Linked DNA regions of Drosophila melanogaster. Changing the gene in region 1 together with any one later gene gives a genetic interaction. Each region holds a gene or a part of one and is shown on either strand. Other genes may lie near its edges.

Region 1 (7,644 bases):
AAAAAAGAAAGGTGGGGGAGGGGGGTGGTAAGTAGTGACAGGCTGTCAGGGGGTGATTGTGCAAAATGAGGCAGAAACGCACTGCGAAAACAAAAGAAATATCCATGACGTGTCGTCCGCACATCGCCCACAATGGGTCCAAAAAAAAAATGTTTGTCAAAGCCAAATTGTAATTTTCCAATTGAATGCAATTCCTCGAACGGAAAATAATACTCTACCGAGTCGCAGTGGTGCCTTAGTTTCGGGATCGATTTCGATTACTTGTAATTAAAGTGCAAATACAAGTATGAGCAGTTATTATGACGAATTATATGGAGAAAGATATAAACAATTTAATGATTTTACAAATTCTAAATGAGTAAGCATGTACGACTAAATTCTTAGGAATTAACTAAGTTTAGATGGCGTAACTTTAATATTGCATTCTAAAATAGCTTAAATTTAATTTCCATTTCCATTTTCCAGTGCAGACGGACCGGCAGGACAAACGACAGGACGGACAGGAGCGGAAGAGCAGACACGGATACATACACACGAATACGTATAGGAATCGGATTGGGATGGATATGGATTGGATGCGTTTTTGAGCATGGAAACAAAGGACCAAAGAGTAAAGTCCGTGCGGCGGAAGGAACGGAGCCGGAGAAAATGTAAACACGGCAAAGCTAAACATGAAGAGGGAGCGATAAGTGAGAGCGAGAGAGAGGAATAACGGTTAGAAAGGGGGCGGGGCCACGAAAAGGGGGCGGCGGCACCTTTACTGCGTGTTTATGTCTGTTTATAGTTGAACTTGAATGATTGAAACGAGTCAGAAAAGAGAGGAGTACAAAAAGCCACAGAGAGGAGAGTGGAGCAGAGCGGGGCGTGAAGGACAGACAAGGAGAGGAAGAGAAATGCCAATGTCAAGGCAATTAGCCAGCCGAAAGCCGGTTGGAAAAATCAGCGGCCGAACTGGAAAACAATGCCACAAAGTGAGGTGGAGCAGCCGAAGGAGAGCTCAAAATGAAATGCTAAAGTGAAAAATGCTAAAGCAAAAAAGTGAAGAGACAGAGGAAAAAACAGGCAGCGAAGCGAACTGACAACTGCCATAGATTTTATGACTTGCAAGAGGCCCAGAGTAAAGACCGTGGCCATTGGCATTGGCATTACACCTGGAAATGGAGCAGCAGCAGCCGGCTCTGTCTAATTTGCACAAGACGTCTGGAAGTAGAGATGGTCGCGTGACACGATTATCTATTTTCCCCAATTAAAAACTATTTATAAGTCGAAGTATGAAACTAATTAGGTTTCCTATTTGCAACGCAAGAAGTCCCAGATTCAATGTTTAAGTGCAAGTATGTATATTTGCTTGAAGCTGTATTCCCATTTCGAGGCAACAAGCTACAGGAAATTTTTATAATATTTGTTAGATTTTTTGGAAAATAACAAATTGGTCGTGGCACAAAATGGAGCACGGGCCATCTCTAGTCTGGATGAGAGAGCAAAGGCAAAGGAGAGGAGAGCCATCTTTGGGCAAGGAATTCCACTTACTTTCTTTGCTTTTGCTGCTCCTTCTTTTTGGCTCTATGCTCTTCGCTGATTTTGTTGTTGTTGCTGCTGCTGGCGCTGTTTTTGTTGCTGTTGCCGAAGTTGTAACTGTTGTTTTTGTTGTTTCTCGGCGAGATCGAGATGTCACTTAGTTGCTTGTTTTATAGTATTAGTTTGCTGATTATTATCCTGTTTTCGCGTTTTCTATTTAGCACTCGCTCTCTCGTCTCCTTTTTGTCTGCCTTTTAGCCGGTGTTTTTTCAGTGCGTTTTCGTGTGCGTGCGTGTGTGTGCGTCTGTCGTCACACCCTTCACTTCGCCAATTCGAATTTCGAATATATATATCTCTGGGAATATCTGGAATATTTTTTGGCCAACAAATTTCTCACACTCACACAATGTAAAAAAAAGTGAAGAAAAAAACGTAAACAAATCACGGTCAGGGCGGCAATTAATTTGTAATTTCCTGCTCAAATTGGCAGAAGGCAATCGAACGCTTTGCTTTGTCCGGCTCTTTTTTTGGTATGGCAGAAAAGGATTTTCACGATTCGAGATTACTGATTGCAGGTTTTTCTAAGACGAGACGCATGCGCGCACAAAACTTTAAGTTTTACTTTTGCGAGAGAGAGGAGAGAACGACCGCTCACGAACTGCACTCCAGTGGGAATGAAACCCGTTGCGAGCGAAGTTGCGCTATTTGTATCGCCGGCCAGAGATGGCACTGTTGCCATTGCGGCGGCTTCTCACCATAGCAGCGCTCTGTTAGCACAGCCGTCTGGCTATCTTTGTAGCTTACCTAGTGAATTGGATACATGAAAAAGGAGTAGCTATATGTGCGATCCATTATTGTATAAGATGAGCATGTAAGAATTTTATTTTTAGCCTTCACAAAGGAATATCGATATCGATCGAATGGTTGACAAAATGACACACAAAGAAACATTTAGCGGGAAAAGAGCTAAGATCGCAGTGCATTCGAAACAACAGCCAGTTTGTTGTTGTTGGCTGTTGGCTAACAACAGCAGAAACAGACGTCTGCTAGCCAACAGCGCTGTTAGCTTTCGCGCGGCTTTTAAAATACGAAATCGTAACGGTCCCTGGGCAAAGGAAATGTGCATAACTTAAGTGCATTGCATATTTAATTGCAGCTGCAGCCAAAAACTGCATCCGAGACTGCAGCTGGCCACCCGAAAGACGCGTCTCGGCCGTTTTGCTTGGCTGGCAACCGAGACTCTGGTGGAGATGCTTTATGCTCTAATAACCCAAGCTGCACTTGCTTTTATTGGATGTTGCACGTTAGTTTCGGACCTCAGCTCCGATTCGGGTCCGGATTTCACCAAAATCCTTTAAATCAACACACATGAATATTAATACTGATTTTAGATTTTACAGTTGTTAATCACTGAATATTACCAGCGGCCGTCTCCGCTCTTCACGGCTCCTTGACTACCAGCAATCTTAAGCGGAGTTAATTATGCTCGCAAATTAATGTTTGACTGCATGCCAAGACATTTTCGATTCACCTGCACTGTTTTCAAATACAATTTAAGCTCTAGCAGCGCGCGCTCTGCTAAGTTTGTCGCCCCACAGCCATGTTCTTAGCTGTTGTCAACGCAGTGTCGCACTTAACATAGGGTTGTCAAGCAAGAAATAATGATAATGAAATTTAAAAAAAAAGTCAAATAAACAAGAATCTTACATTTATAAGCATATCAGCATATCACTTTTGTAAAAATTAAAATAATAATAATTTATAAGAATAAGAATATATATTATATTATTATTATTAAATATTATTATAATATTTATAAATAATAAGAATAATTTATTTATATATATTTGACTACATAACGTGCCTAACACAAATTTTAAAATTGGCTAAACGTTTTTTCTGATATGGACGCCCTAAGTATTATTTTCCAAATCAAATAATTCGGCTTGCATACACCTAAATTTTTCGAAAGGTTAACATTATTTTGAAATAACCGTTCTAAAGTCGACTTTGTATGGTCACTCTAGCGGGCTGCTCTACACAGCTGTGAAACAATCGATTTCCGGGCATATCGATGTTTTTCAATCCACCATCAAAGCGAATCGATACCAATAACAATAATTCTAGAGTGCATTTCAGTTTATTAGTTTGTAGTTACATAGCAAAATGCGCGTTTATTTCGGCTCAGTAAATTAAGAACATTTTCGTTACACGTTGCCACGCCCCCCCATCCAACGGCAAACCACCCCCCGCCTCCGCCTTCAAGACAGAGAGAGAGATAGAATAAAACAGAGAGAGAGCAACAACAACAATATATAACCAAAACGAAAGATTTCCGCAAGAAACCACAAAAAAAAACAACAATTGCTTTGGTTCTGATGATTCTCGTAACAGCAAAAACAACAAGATTTATAATCTAAATCAAAAGAAACTGTGCTCTCCGCTGTGCGTGGCTGTGAGTGCGTTTGTGCGGTACGGTGCGTGCATTATAACAATTATTGCACAAAAGGCATGACAAACGTGGGGCGGGGGTGTCTGTAAATGTGAGTGCGATAGAGCGCGACATATTCAAACAAGCTAGGGACGGAGTAGGTGAGCGAGGGAGAGAGAGAACGCGACGGTGGCAACAACAAAGGGCTGTGATTTTACTTTGCCCCCTCCACCCTGTACCCCGTCCCATCCATACACTTGCGTATTTACCAAATAAACGGAACATACATAAGCCAAAATAGGCAGAACAACAACAACATTAAGAGTCAACTAAACAGCAAATCGAATAGTTTCGTGGGAGAAAGGACAGCGTAGCAGAGTCATTGGAAAACTGGCCGCGTAAGGGAGCGCAATGGATGTCCTGGAAATGCTGCGCGCCAGCGCCAGCGGCAGCTACAACACAATATTCTCGGACGCGTGGTGCCAATATGTCTCCAAGCAGATCACAGCAACGGTAAGTGCACTTCACCCTTTCTTTGTCTTTTTATTTGCTTTGACTTTGGCTTGCTGTTTGTTTGCAATATGAGTGAGTCAGTTGGAAGACAATATGTGCGAGAGCGAGAGGACGCGAGGATTAGAAGGGCAGCTGGAAAGCTTAAAAAAAAATGCGATGCAGGATTACAGCTGTTCGGGCTTGTGTCCGTGCTTAACGCGCGGGAGAGAGAACGTGAGCGAAAAGAGAGCATGTGGATCTTACTTGAGCAGGATAACAGCTGTTTTAGGTTCATGTCCAGGCTACATATAATATAAGATTAATAAGTATTTACGTACTCACGTCACAATTCTTTTATATAATTCAAGAATTTTATTATGAATATAGCTTTTTTTTGTGACAACATCCATAAAGATTAGGTCCCCTGATAAAAATCACAGAATGAGCGATAAAGCAGACCTAAGTAGTTAAAGTAAAGTAAACAGACATTATTCAAGAAAACCCACTTGAGTATTGAGAGCAAACACCTGTTAGAAAATTCCACTGTATTTTGTATGCGATTTTTTAATGTGTAATCCCATTATCTTTATGGAAATTTTTCTAAAAAAAAATTTTTACAAAATGTTAGCTTGACGAATAAATGTCGGCCAGACATCATAGGTTAAGTACTTAGATTTATAGGTAGAAGAATCGAAATAGTCGCTGTTCCTGACTAGTTTACCATAACTTAGTTCTAGTAAACCCTATCAGCGGATTGAAGTTTAGACCCCAGCTAAAGTTTAGAACGATACAGGCTAAGGCAAGTGTGGATTTCAGGACTCTAATCTCTCTTAGAACCCAGCCAAATGATAAGAAAAGAGAAAAACCGGAAGAGAAAAGGGGAAACTTCCGTGTTTTCATTTGTCGCCACAAATCGAAATTGTTTTGTGGCCTTACATAAAACAAAACGAATGAAAAACAAAAACCACTGACTACAGTAGCCACATGATAACACCACACGACCATAGTATTGATAATGACACCCAGGCGACCCCGAAGCAAGCAAAAAAAAAAAAAGAAAAACTAAACCACCCGAGCTGATAACTATGATAACCGATTGCTAATCAGAAGCACGTGCAATCGTGGGCGGGGGGTGCGTACGAAATCAGTTTTCAATAATTCAATTAACCCCTTGGGGCCAAATCAATTTAGCCGCCTTGTGACTGCGCGAATTTTATCATTATCGTGTTGTTATGCGAGTGTGTGTATGTGTGTGCTGTCCGATTAGATCAAAGCAAATCCAATTGGATAAGTGCGTGTGTGGCGCAGCTTCGGCTTCCAATTAGACCGACTGAGTCAATTGGTATTTATGGCATTTTTTCTTGTACATTTTGCAAACCTGTTGTAAAAATAAACTGTAAACAAACAATAATTGCTGGGGGTAATAAAAGACAAACAGTAAGGTGCACAGTGAGAAAGAAAATGTGCAACTTATAGATTAAAAAAAAATGTTTATTTCTATCGAAAGAAATCGAAACTACGCCACTATAATTAACGTTTAATGAAGTGCGAGAAAACGCTACATTTTTCGCGCTGTGTAGTATCAAATGCGGAAACTGCAGACAATAACAAATGGGTAGCAGCAACAACAAATTGCCCGAGAAACTACTGCCACAACAAAAACAGCAAATGCAACAACAACAACCGCATCGAACAAGAACAACTCACTCAGAACCGCTAGCAACAAACAATAAAACAAACATACATACATACATACATACATATGTATGTGCAGCGACGTTGCGTCGCCGTTTCAATGTCAAAGTGCCGAGTGCAACAACAAGATTTAGGGAAAATAACAACAAAACACAGCTGATGCACTTGATTACACGGGCGTGACACTTGCTTTTGGGAAATTCCAAGTGTCTTCGTGCTAAATAATTCATCCTAAATAACTGGGCGACGTGGAAAATACGAAATGAAAATCATATTGGAGACGACATCAAAAACCCTTATATCCTTTCGTTTCAATGTCATAAGCTGAAGAAGAATGGGAAACTAATTAACCAATTAATTAATAATTAAGAAACGTGATTTAGCAAAGGAGTTGGCACATTAGTACAAGAATTCACATTTTTTTGTTTTGCATTTCAGCAAAAGTGAAAAACCATATAGAATCAAAAGCATATTATATCATAGTTAGATTACCCTTTCATTTTACTTCAAAAACACTTTCAAACACTTCAAACACTTTTAGTTCAATTTTAGATCAAGAATAACAAAAAAAAAAAAAAAAAACATTTTCTTATATATATATATAGATTTTCTTTATATTAGCCTTTAATAGCTCTATTAAGAATGTTAAGTTTGGAACCAGCTCGATATGACATCGATTTCAACTTCCGAGGAAATCAGACAGTTTTCACGTGGTTGCAGCAAAGAGTTCTACCAAACTCCACAGCCATTATAATGAAGGCCTTTGAACTGAGGAATCAACTAATTGCGCGCTATCTTATACAAATTCCTTTGCAGGTGTACATGTATTTCGCCCTGGTAATGATGAGCCTGCTCTTCATAGCCTGGTTCTTATACTTCAAACGAATGGCACGTTTGCGTTTGCGCGACGAGATTGCCCGTTCCATTAGCACCGTAACCAATTCATCCGGCGATATGCGTGGCCTGCGTTTCCGGAAGCGTGACAAGATGCTATTCTACGGCCGTCGAATGCTGCGCAAAATGAAGAACGTGAGCGGTCAAATGTACAGCAGCGGTAAGGGCTACAAGCGTCGTGCTGTCATGCGTTTCGCGAGAAGGATACTCCAGCTGAGGCGGGATAATATGCCGCTAGAGATGCGCACCGTGGAGCCGCCAGCCGAGTATCTGGAGGAGACAATCGAGGGCAGCGATAGAGTTCCGCCCGATGCACTCTATATGCTCCAGAGCATTCGCATTTTTGGACATTTCGAGAAGCCGGTCTTTTTGCGGCTCTGCAAGCACACCCAATTGCTGGAACTGATGGCCGGCGACTATTTGTTTAAGATAACCGATCCGGACGATAGCGTCTATATCGTTCAATCGGGCATGATCAATGTGTACATCTCCAATGCCGATGGCAGCACACTATCATTGAAGACGGTCAGGAAGGGCGAGTCGGTGACATCGCTGCTCAGCTTTATTGATGTCCTGTCGGGGAATCCCAGCTACTATAAGACGGTCACCGCCAA
Region 2 (7,887 bases), on another chromosome or scaffold:
ATATAAATTAAAGTTGTCTAAGGCAAAGTGCATGGATTGTTTTGAGAATAATTTTTCAAAAATTATTGTAGACAATCACTCGGGCTGTAAATTAGCAAAGCGACCAAAAGAACCAAGAAGCAGAAACAACCGATCTCAGCCGATCGTTCAGTCCTATATGCAGATATATATATATATACATATATATTCACATATGTATACCCACTTACACTCTGAAGATCGGCCCCATTCACCTTGGCGGCTGCCAAATTTGAAAATGGAAATGGAAATTGGGGTCGTCGTTGCCAGCCAGCCAGCCAAATGTTAAATTGTTGCCTAATCTTCCGGTGGCCAGCACTCTGTTTTTTTTTTTTCCTTCTCTTGTAGTCGCTTCTACTTTTCGTGAATGGAAAACGCAATAAAAAGTATATACTATTGTATATGGCTCGTACTAACGTTAAACTCAAGAATTAGTGCCTGCGAGATAAGATGCTAAGATCAGGTGAATGGGGTGTGAGATTTCGCAAGATCAGGGTTATCTGCTTCTGCAGAAATGGATTTACAAATTCTGATTAAGAGACGGATTCCGTGCAAGGGTCAATAAACGTTTTATGACGTTTACTTTAGAAAAGCTACGCCAAATAATATACAAATTTCGAGATAATATCTTCCTATTTGCACTTTTTCCAGAGAATGGAACCCCTAACAACTTGAAATTACTTATATTCCTATAAAATCCATTCAAAATATTTCTACACAAATCCCATTTATGAGCTGAATTCAATAAATTATTCGGTATAACTTTTATGCTTAAGGAAATTTCCTCGAAAAAATTATGAAACTTTTCCCATGGGCCTTAGCTCACCTAACATAAAGACACTTGATTTATTCGGAAAATCAGCGAATATATTTTAAAATGCTGAGCAAAAGAAGATTTCCTAATCTTGTGACTGCAAGCCAATTGACCTTTTGATAGGGGAAATTAATTTGGGGTGCAATGTTTGCAACATTTATTAATTCGTTGGGCGACCTAAGGCATAAATTGTGTGCTTAATTAATTCAGAACAGCGCGAGGCGATTTGTTTAAAAATATGTGTTCACGAATTTATAGATAGCTTACTTTTTCATAAAAAGAAAGCGTCTCATATTAATATCATCGTCATCGGTGTATTTTCGAATTTCCAAACAGTCAAAGAGAATTTGCTGTAGGCGTTGTCATTAATAATATTTTTCATACGCCAGGATATGTAATTAACTGAATAAGTGCATTCACTTGAATTAATGATGGGGGTGTTACGAAAACGAAAATTCATTGGCCATTTTCGGTTGACGAAATAAGGATTGTCGCTCCCATGCGTTTCTGGCTAATAAAACCCAAATGGCAATAATCGTCAAAAATAATGCCGGCTAAATGCAATCATAACATAAATACAGCGACACGCTTTGTTTTCCTTACGAGTATTTTCACTGGGATCTGGTTGGTTTTCCCAAACTCACATAAGGACGATACAGATTTATGGTCTTGGATTTGTTTTTATGGAGCAAGTACTTCCGTTGTCCTTGTGCTAGTTCCTCACTTAAGTTGCCACTGCTGTAATTGGCTAGGCAAACATATAAACATTTATGCGTATGGAGAAGTTGGGGAATAGATTTCGAAAGTCCTTGACTGAGTTGGCGAAGAGTTATTGAAGCGCGACATGAAGAAAAGCAATTTAAATGGGGTCACCTGAATGCAAATAGCTGGCAGATTTTGAAAGAAGCGGAAAACTCGAATATTATCTTTCTTGAATTATTAAGCATAAGTAAATCATACATTTTTGGAATTTTTTATATATTTACCATTTGTCAGTGAAGAATCTAATAATTTATCACGCTTTCTGAACTTTGAAATGTTCAAGAAAATTCAAAATATTTTACACGCCTTTTTTAATTTATATATATGTGGGATATATGGGATATATACCATTAAATCAGACATTTTAGCATTTTATTCTTATTTATATTTATCATATTTATTTTAACATTATGACGAGTTAGATCTTCCACCTCTATTTAAATGTTTAAAGACGCATTAATCTACGAATCTAACGAACTTAATGACTGCATTAGCAAGATCTCAAAGTATCTAAAAAACCCACACTTTCCAACTTCCACTTCCACTCCAAATATCAAGATTTAGCCCGCCATGTGAGGTGTAATTTGCTAATTGTACTAATTAAATCGGCTCGCCTAATTATAGTACTCAAAGCTTAATCATCAAACGAATTTATCTCCACATTTTGTTTCTATTTTGGAAAGCAAGCATTTATGATTTGTTGCTGGCTGCTGGCTTCCACTTTTTACACTACCCACGATTACTCACCGAGCTAAATTTTGAGATCCAAATTTGCCGGCCGTCGTCGTTGCCTTTTGGTTTGGTTTTTGTTTTGGTTTTTGGTTTTTTTAGCCTTTTGGTTTTTGTTTTTCTTTTTTTCCTACTTAACGATCCCACAGCCGATCTATATTTATTGTTGTTGTTCAGGTTGCGATTGTCTGGTTGGTTGGTGAGTTCTGATTCTGATTTTTTGCTGGAGCAAAATTTGAACGCTTGCGAAATTGTTAAAAATAAATATGTTACTTTAAGAGCGCACGATTTTCCGCGACTAGCCGTCGATTTCGATTTTTCCTTCGCTTCTGGCCGGCAATAATAACAGAAAAAAAGGCGAAAAAACCGCTGAAGCCGACACAGAAACAGAAATAAACTCAACACTCAGCGTTTCTCGGCGGGAGGGGGTATAGGTATAGGTATTATGGGTGTTATAGGTATACGGGGGCCATAGGTATTATTTTTTGCGGATCGACTGGACACAGCGATCGCGATTTGCTTTATTTGTGTCACTTTTTTCGTGGGTTTTTCTTCGGTTTCTTTTAGTTGTTGTTGTGTGTCTAAAGGTGCCGCTTTGTTTTGTTTATATACGCTGGGATCGTGAGATCCGAGAGATCTAGAATTTCCGGTTTTTACAGCGCAACTTGCAGTTTTTCTTCGGTTTTTTGTTAGTTTCCTCCGCTGAACCAGCAGATTGCCAAATTAGTCCAACTGAGCGCAATTAATCAAACGTGATGATTGCAAACTTTGAATAGGTTTTGTTTTTTTTTTTGTTGACTAGTCTGAAGACCAATGTCAAATTTTCCAATTTTCTTTCGAATGATTTCTGAGTGTTCTGTGGTGTTTTTCTTGGGTTGACCAGCCGCTTCCACGTTTTGCACGAAACTGAAACGTAAAATCTGCGAATCGCTTGCCACAGCTCTCGACGTCGACGTCAGCGTCGCAGTTGGCAGCACAGTCGTGGTGGTTCGGAAAAGGGGGCGGCCTGGTCGGGAGGGGCGGGGCAGTGGGCAATGATGACGATGGTAATAATGATGCTTCTGCTGGCAGCCAAGGGGAGAGGGAGAGATGGCTTCGGGATGCTCGCTTGATAGTCGGATGTGTTTGTGTTTGCTCTCCATGTGTGCAGATATTTGGTTTTGGCCAAGTGTCCCGAGTGCCGTTCCATTTGAGGGCCTAAACGCTTTGGCGGCAACAGGATCATCGCCATCAGGATGGCGGAGGCGGTCCGGAATCACCGATGGCGATAAGGCGGCCAGCATGGTGTGCGCCCTAATTGACAACACCATCACGGAACTGAAAGTCTTTGCAGCGACCAAAATCTACATACATACATATATATATAATAATTAATCTAGAAGATACATACATTGACAAAAAAGTAGATATTTTGTCGCTGCGAAGACAATAATTTACATATTTTAACTGTTCTTATCATATTTTTTTTGTGTAATAACAACTTTCATTACTATCATAAATAAGAAAATGCAAAATTATATTTCTTATGAAATATCTTTTTATCTTTTAACAACGTTTAATAATAGATTTTATAGACGTTTTTATCTTACGATTTTACCTGATTATTAAATAAATATAATCCTAATGTTGGGTAGTTTTTGGATTGGTTTTTCTTTAACTGCTTTAACAGACACATTGCCTGCGAAAAGTCGGAAAATTGTAATAAATGTGGGATTTTCCCAAGTGTAGGAGTACCAGCAGACTTTTCGTCAGCAGTGAATTTTTAAATATTCCAAGAAACACTTATACCTATTTATGTTTGTGTTATTTCAACAAATATTAAGACTTTTGGTTATTATAGTAGAGATGGAAAATAATGCATACAGGATGTAATTCAGATATGAAATACATACATGATGTACATATTGTACATAAGTTAACCCTACGATTCAAGCCAGAAGTCGTTTTAAATCAAAAGGTTTATGTGTGTTTTTATGGTGGGGGTGTTTTTCCTCAGTGTCTTGTTTGTTTTCAGTAGACTTTGCGGCAGCGCCGATTCGTTGCTGAGAAAATCTAGAAAATATGTTTTGTGTATTTACGAGCCCTCTGTTTCGGTTTTAAGCAAACAGCGAGCGCGCCTCTTTAACGGTTTTCGGGTGTTGCGTTCGCATGTTTATGCACGTTGATTTCGCTGGCCGTTGTAATAAAGGCCAACAAGGTCAGGTGCAAACGAAATGCGAGTACGAGTGACGCCTGCGTGCCACAGTCTCATTTCAGGTGCCGCATACAATTGCCGTGTGCATTTCAATTTGATGTTATAATTAAGCGAAGGCAGGCACGAGATGTCAGCAAGCTTTGCGTTTACGTTTTCTGTGCGCGACTTTTTTTTCCCTATTTCACTATTTCGTTTTGAGGCTGCTTCAGTCCTGTTTGTCAAGTGCAAGGACACTGCATGCACTCACCTCTTTGAGTGGGCGTGGCAAGTCCTGCCCGCAGACCGGAAGCCGAGTCATGGTCGCCGCAGACTGTAAGGCATAAAAATGTTAGTATCCTTGCCGCACTAAGTATAATTGTGGGAAACAACTCACTTAGCTTCCAGCTGGAATACAAACCGCAGCCGAAATTTGCGAAGACACTTGCGCTGACTCTGCAAGCCACTAAAATACGTTCCAAAAATATATGCCACAAATCCATTTAAGGAAAATTTTGTTTATTCCCAATTTTTTGAATTTTCCCCCCTCGAAATATCGATGTATATGTATTGTCAGTTAAATGTTTTGAGTTGTCTGTACCAGATGGCGCCAGTGTTCTGAAATTCAATTTACTTTTATTAATGTATAGCATTAATTGTAATACTCTCTGCAAAGCCAACAAGATTTTATTTTTCATAAATTTTTTTGTTTTATAAATCATAACGTATTTTATTTATAATATTTAAAAACGGTTTTAAATTTCCCATTAGGATTTTTTGAAATGTCAGGACAGTGCCTAAAAGTATGCAACCTCATATGCAGTTTGGTATGATTTCCGAGCCGGTTGGTATATTTGAACGATGACGCCTGGTCACACTGCTACAAATGTCTTTCGCATAGTTTAGTTTATTATTACGCGCAAACAACAAATAGCTGACCCTTCAAAAACGAATTAAACAGCGAACATGCAGTTCTCTTGGATGAAGGTGGCCATATACCTTCTTACGTTCCTAACCTACGCCTATTCAGGCTATGGATCCAGCACCATAGTCCACGTAAGGTGCACCGCTTCTCGTAGGAAATCTGTGAGAGCTAGTATCTGTTACTCCTGTATCTTCTCTCCCCGGATTTAGCTAAGGGATGCCATTATAGCCGCGGAGGCGATCTTTGGTGACGTGTTCAAGAACCTGATAGTGCTGGTGCGCAAATTTCGCACGGTCCACGAGGTTTTCGATGCGGCCGTGGACGAGAACTGCATATACCAGTGCCCCGCACCGGATATCGGAGGACCAGGTGTGGTGACGCACTGCGCATTATGTAAATTCCCCAGCATCCATATGTGTGTTTATCTTACAGCGCCCAGAGCGGTTCAGAATAAGTTCTATACCCCCACCGCAGATGGATGTGGTTCCTTGGGCCTGAGGATCAGCACAGACTATCTGCCGGCCAAGGAGATGGAGACATGTTGCAATGACCACGATATCTGCTACGACACCTGCAATAGCGATAAGGAGCTGTGCGACCTGGACTTCAAGAGGTGCTTGTACAAGTACTGCGACAGCTACGAGAAGTCCATAGCCAGCGATCTGATGATGAAGGGCTGCAAGGCGGCTGCCAAGATGCTATTCACCGGCACATTGACCCTGGGATGCCGCTCCTATCTGGACTCCCAGCAGAGATCCTGCTATTGCGCCCCGCCGAAGAGCTCCTCCTACAATGGCAATAGGCAGGGTAATAGCAATAGTAGGGAGAAGCAGCAGCGCCAGAAATATGGCTGGAAGGATCGCAACGAGATATAGTACAGGATCACTGGCTACGAGGGTGCGGGGACCTGGGGGTATCGGATTAAGCGTTAAATGTTTTATGTGTTGTGTTAGTCTATGAATTGGGTAGCCATGTCCATTGGACTCCCTTTTTGACGAATTTCATTATTGTATACCAAATAGTGGCATGCCAACGGTCCAGACTGTTAAATACATTGATATTTTTACCTATTATAAAGATGCTATATTTTTAAATCAACTGTGCGCTGATTAATCACCGGTGGCTTATGCTGACGTGGTCCTTTGGGCAGGATATGTATATTATTTATTAATCATATGATCGACAAGTGTGTAAACATATTTTAACCAGGACGATGACGTATTTAATTTGTTAAGCTGCCTGGCCAAAGCTAATTTAATAGTACAAATAAATGAATGGAGATCAAACAAGAATTCTATTATATCAAAAATTTTGACTTTAAGTCAAACTTAAGTTTAAAACTAAGGTGGAACAGAAAATATCTCAATATTTTCAAGCTAAACAGTTATTTTAAGAAGCCATTTCTCGCGGATTACAGCTGAAGTGCCATCCTAGCTTTCCAACACTACTCAGTCACACTACACAACACTGCACTGACTGAACCGAAAAAAAAACACACAGATTTTGCAATCCGCAGAAAAGAATTATTAATAGTATTTTTATGCGGATGGCCAGCGTGCTGAGGACCTAAGATGGGCTACGATGTGAATCGCTTTCAGGGGGAGGTGGACGAGGAGCTCACCTGTCCCATCTGCTCCGGAGTGCTTGAGGATCCGCTGCAGGTTTGTTTTGTTTGCAAAGAACGCACACCGCGAATCATACATATGCTTTAAATACAAACAATCATACATATCTACCGATTCAGGCCGTGATGTGCGAGCACGCCTTCTGCCGCGGATGCATTAACGAGTGGCTAACCCGCCAGCCCACTTGTCCGGTGGATCGAAATTCCCTGACTACTGCCAACTTGCGGGCAGTGCCTCGCATATTGCGCAACCTACTGTCCAGGTGAGAAAAACCCAACGCCTTCTACTCTGTGAACCTTGTGGACTCTAACTAATCTTTGACCCTTGCCAACCAGACTGTCAATCACCTGTGACAATGCGCCTTATGGCTGCACGGCTGTTCTCAAGCTAGACGCCTACAATTCCCATTTGGACGAATGCATTCACAATCCGAAGCGACCATTTCCCTGCGAGAAGGGATGCGGCTTTGACATACCCAAGGATGAGCTAAAGGACCACAACTGCGTGCGGGAGCTGCGCACTTTAATTGTCAAGCAGACGGAAAAAATGGGTGAGCTCAAATCGGAGCTCACCGACCAGCAGCTGACTATCAACGAACTGAAGCGCGAGCTGCAGCTATTCAAGGACTTTATGCGTGCCATGCGCGTCTCCAATCCTGCGATGCGGGCCATAGCCGACCAGATGGAGCGCGACGAGGTGATCCGCTGGAGCAGCACACTGCCCCGGGCCAGGGTTACGCGCTGGGGGGGAATGATCTCTACGCCCGACGATGCACTGCAGGTGAAGCCCAAATTCTAAATTTTTTTAAAACGTTAACTCACTTTTCATTTGATAGCTCATGATC

What was found.
Region 2: of sws (region 1) and Pka-C3, changing one enhances a phenotype caused by changing the other (phenotypic enhancement), as found in Drosophila melanogaster (one study listed by BioGRID).

What each region holds. Positions count from the first base shown.
Region 1 is NC_004354.4:7,964,258-7,971,901, reverse strand, and holds the start of sws (swiss cheese), read left to right. Parts: upstream 1-3,665; 5' UTR 3,666-4,360; coding exon 4,361-4,462; intron 4,463-6,952; coding exon 6,953-7,644. UniProt on the Drosophila melanogaster protein: Phospholipase B that deacylates intracellular phosphatidylcholine (PtdCho), generating glycerophosphocholine (GroPtdCho). This deacylation occurs at both sn-2 and sn-1 positions of PtdCho.
Region 2 is NT_037436.4:15,949,761-15,957,647, forward strand, and holds the start of Pka-C3 (protein kinase, cAMP-dependent, catalytic subunit 3), read right to left. Parts: upstream 5,038-7,887; 5' UTR 4,997-5,037; coding exon 4,891-4,996; intron 4,828-4,890; coding exon 4,765-4,827; intron 3,234-4,764; exon of another isoform or gene 2,342-3,233; intron 1-2,341. Other genes in the region: GXIVsPLA2, read left to right, coding at 5,460-5,549, 5,628-5,787, 5,851-6,293; elgi (early girl), read left to right, coding at 6,990-7,079, 7,163-7,305, 7,379-7,823, 7,879-7,887. UniProt on the Drosophila melanogaster protein: Does not have an essential role in development.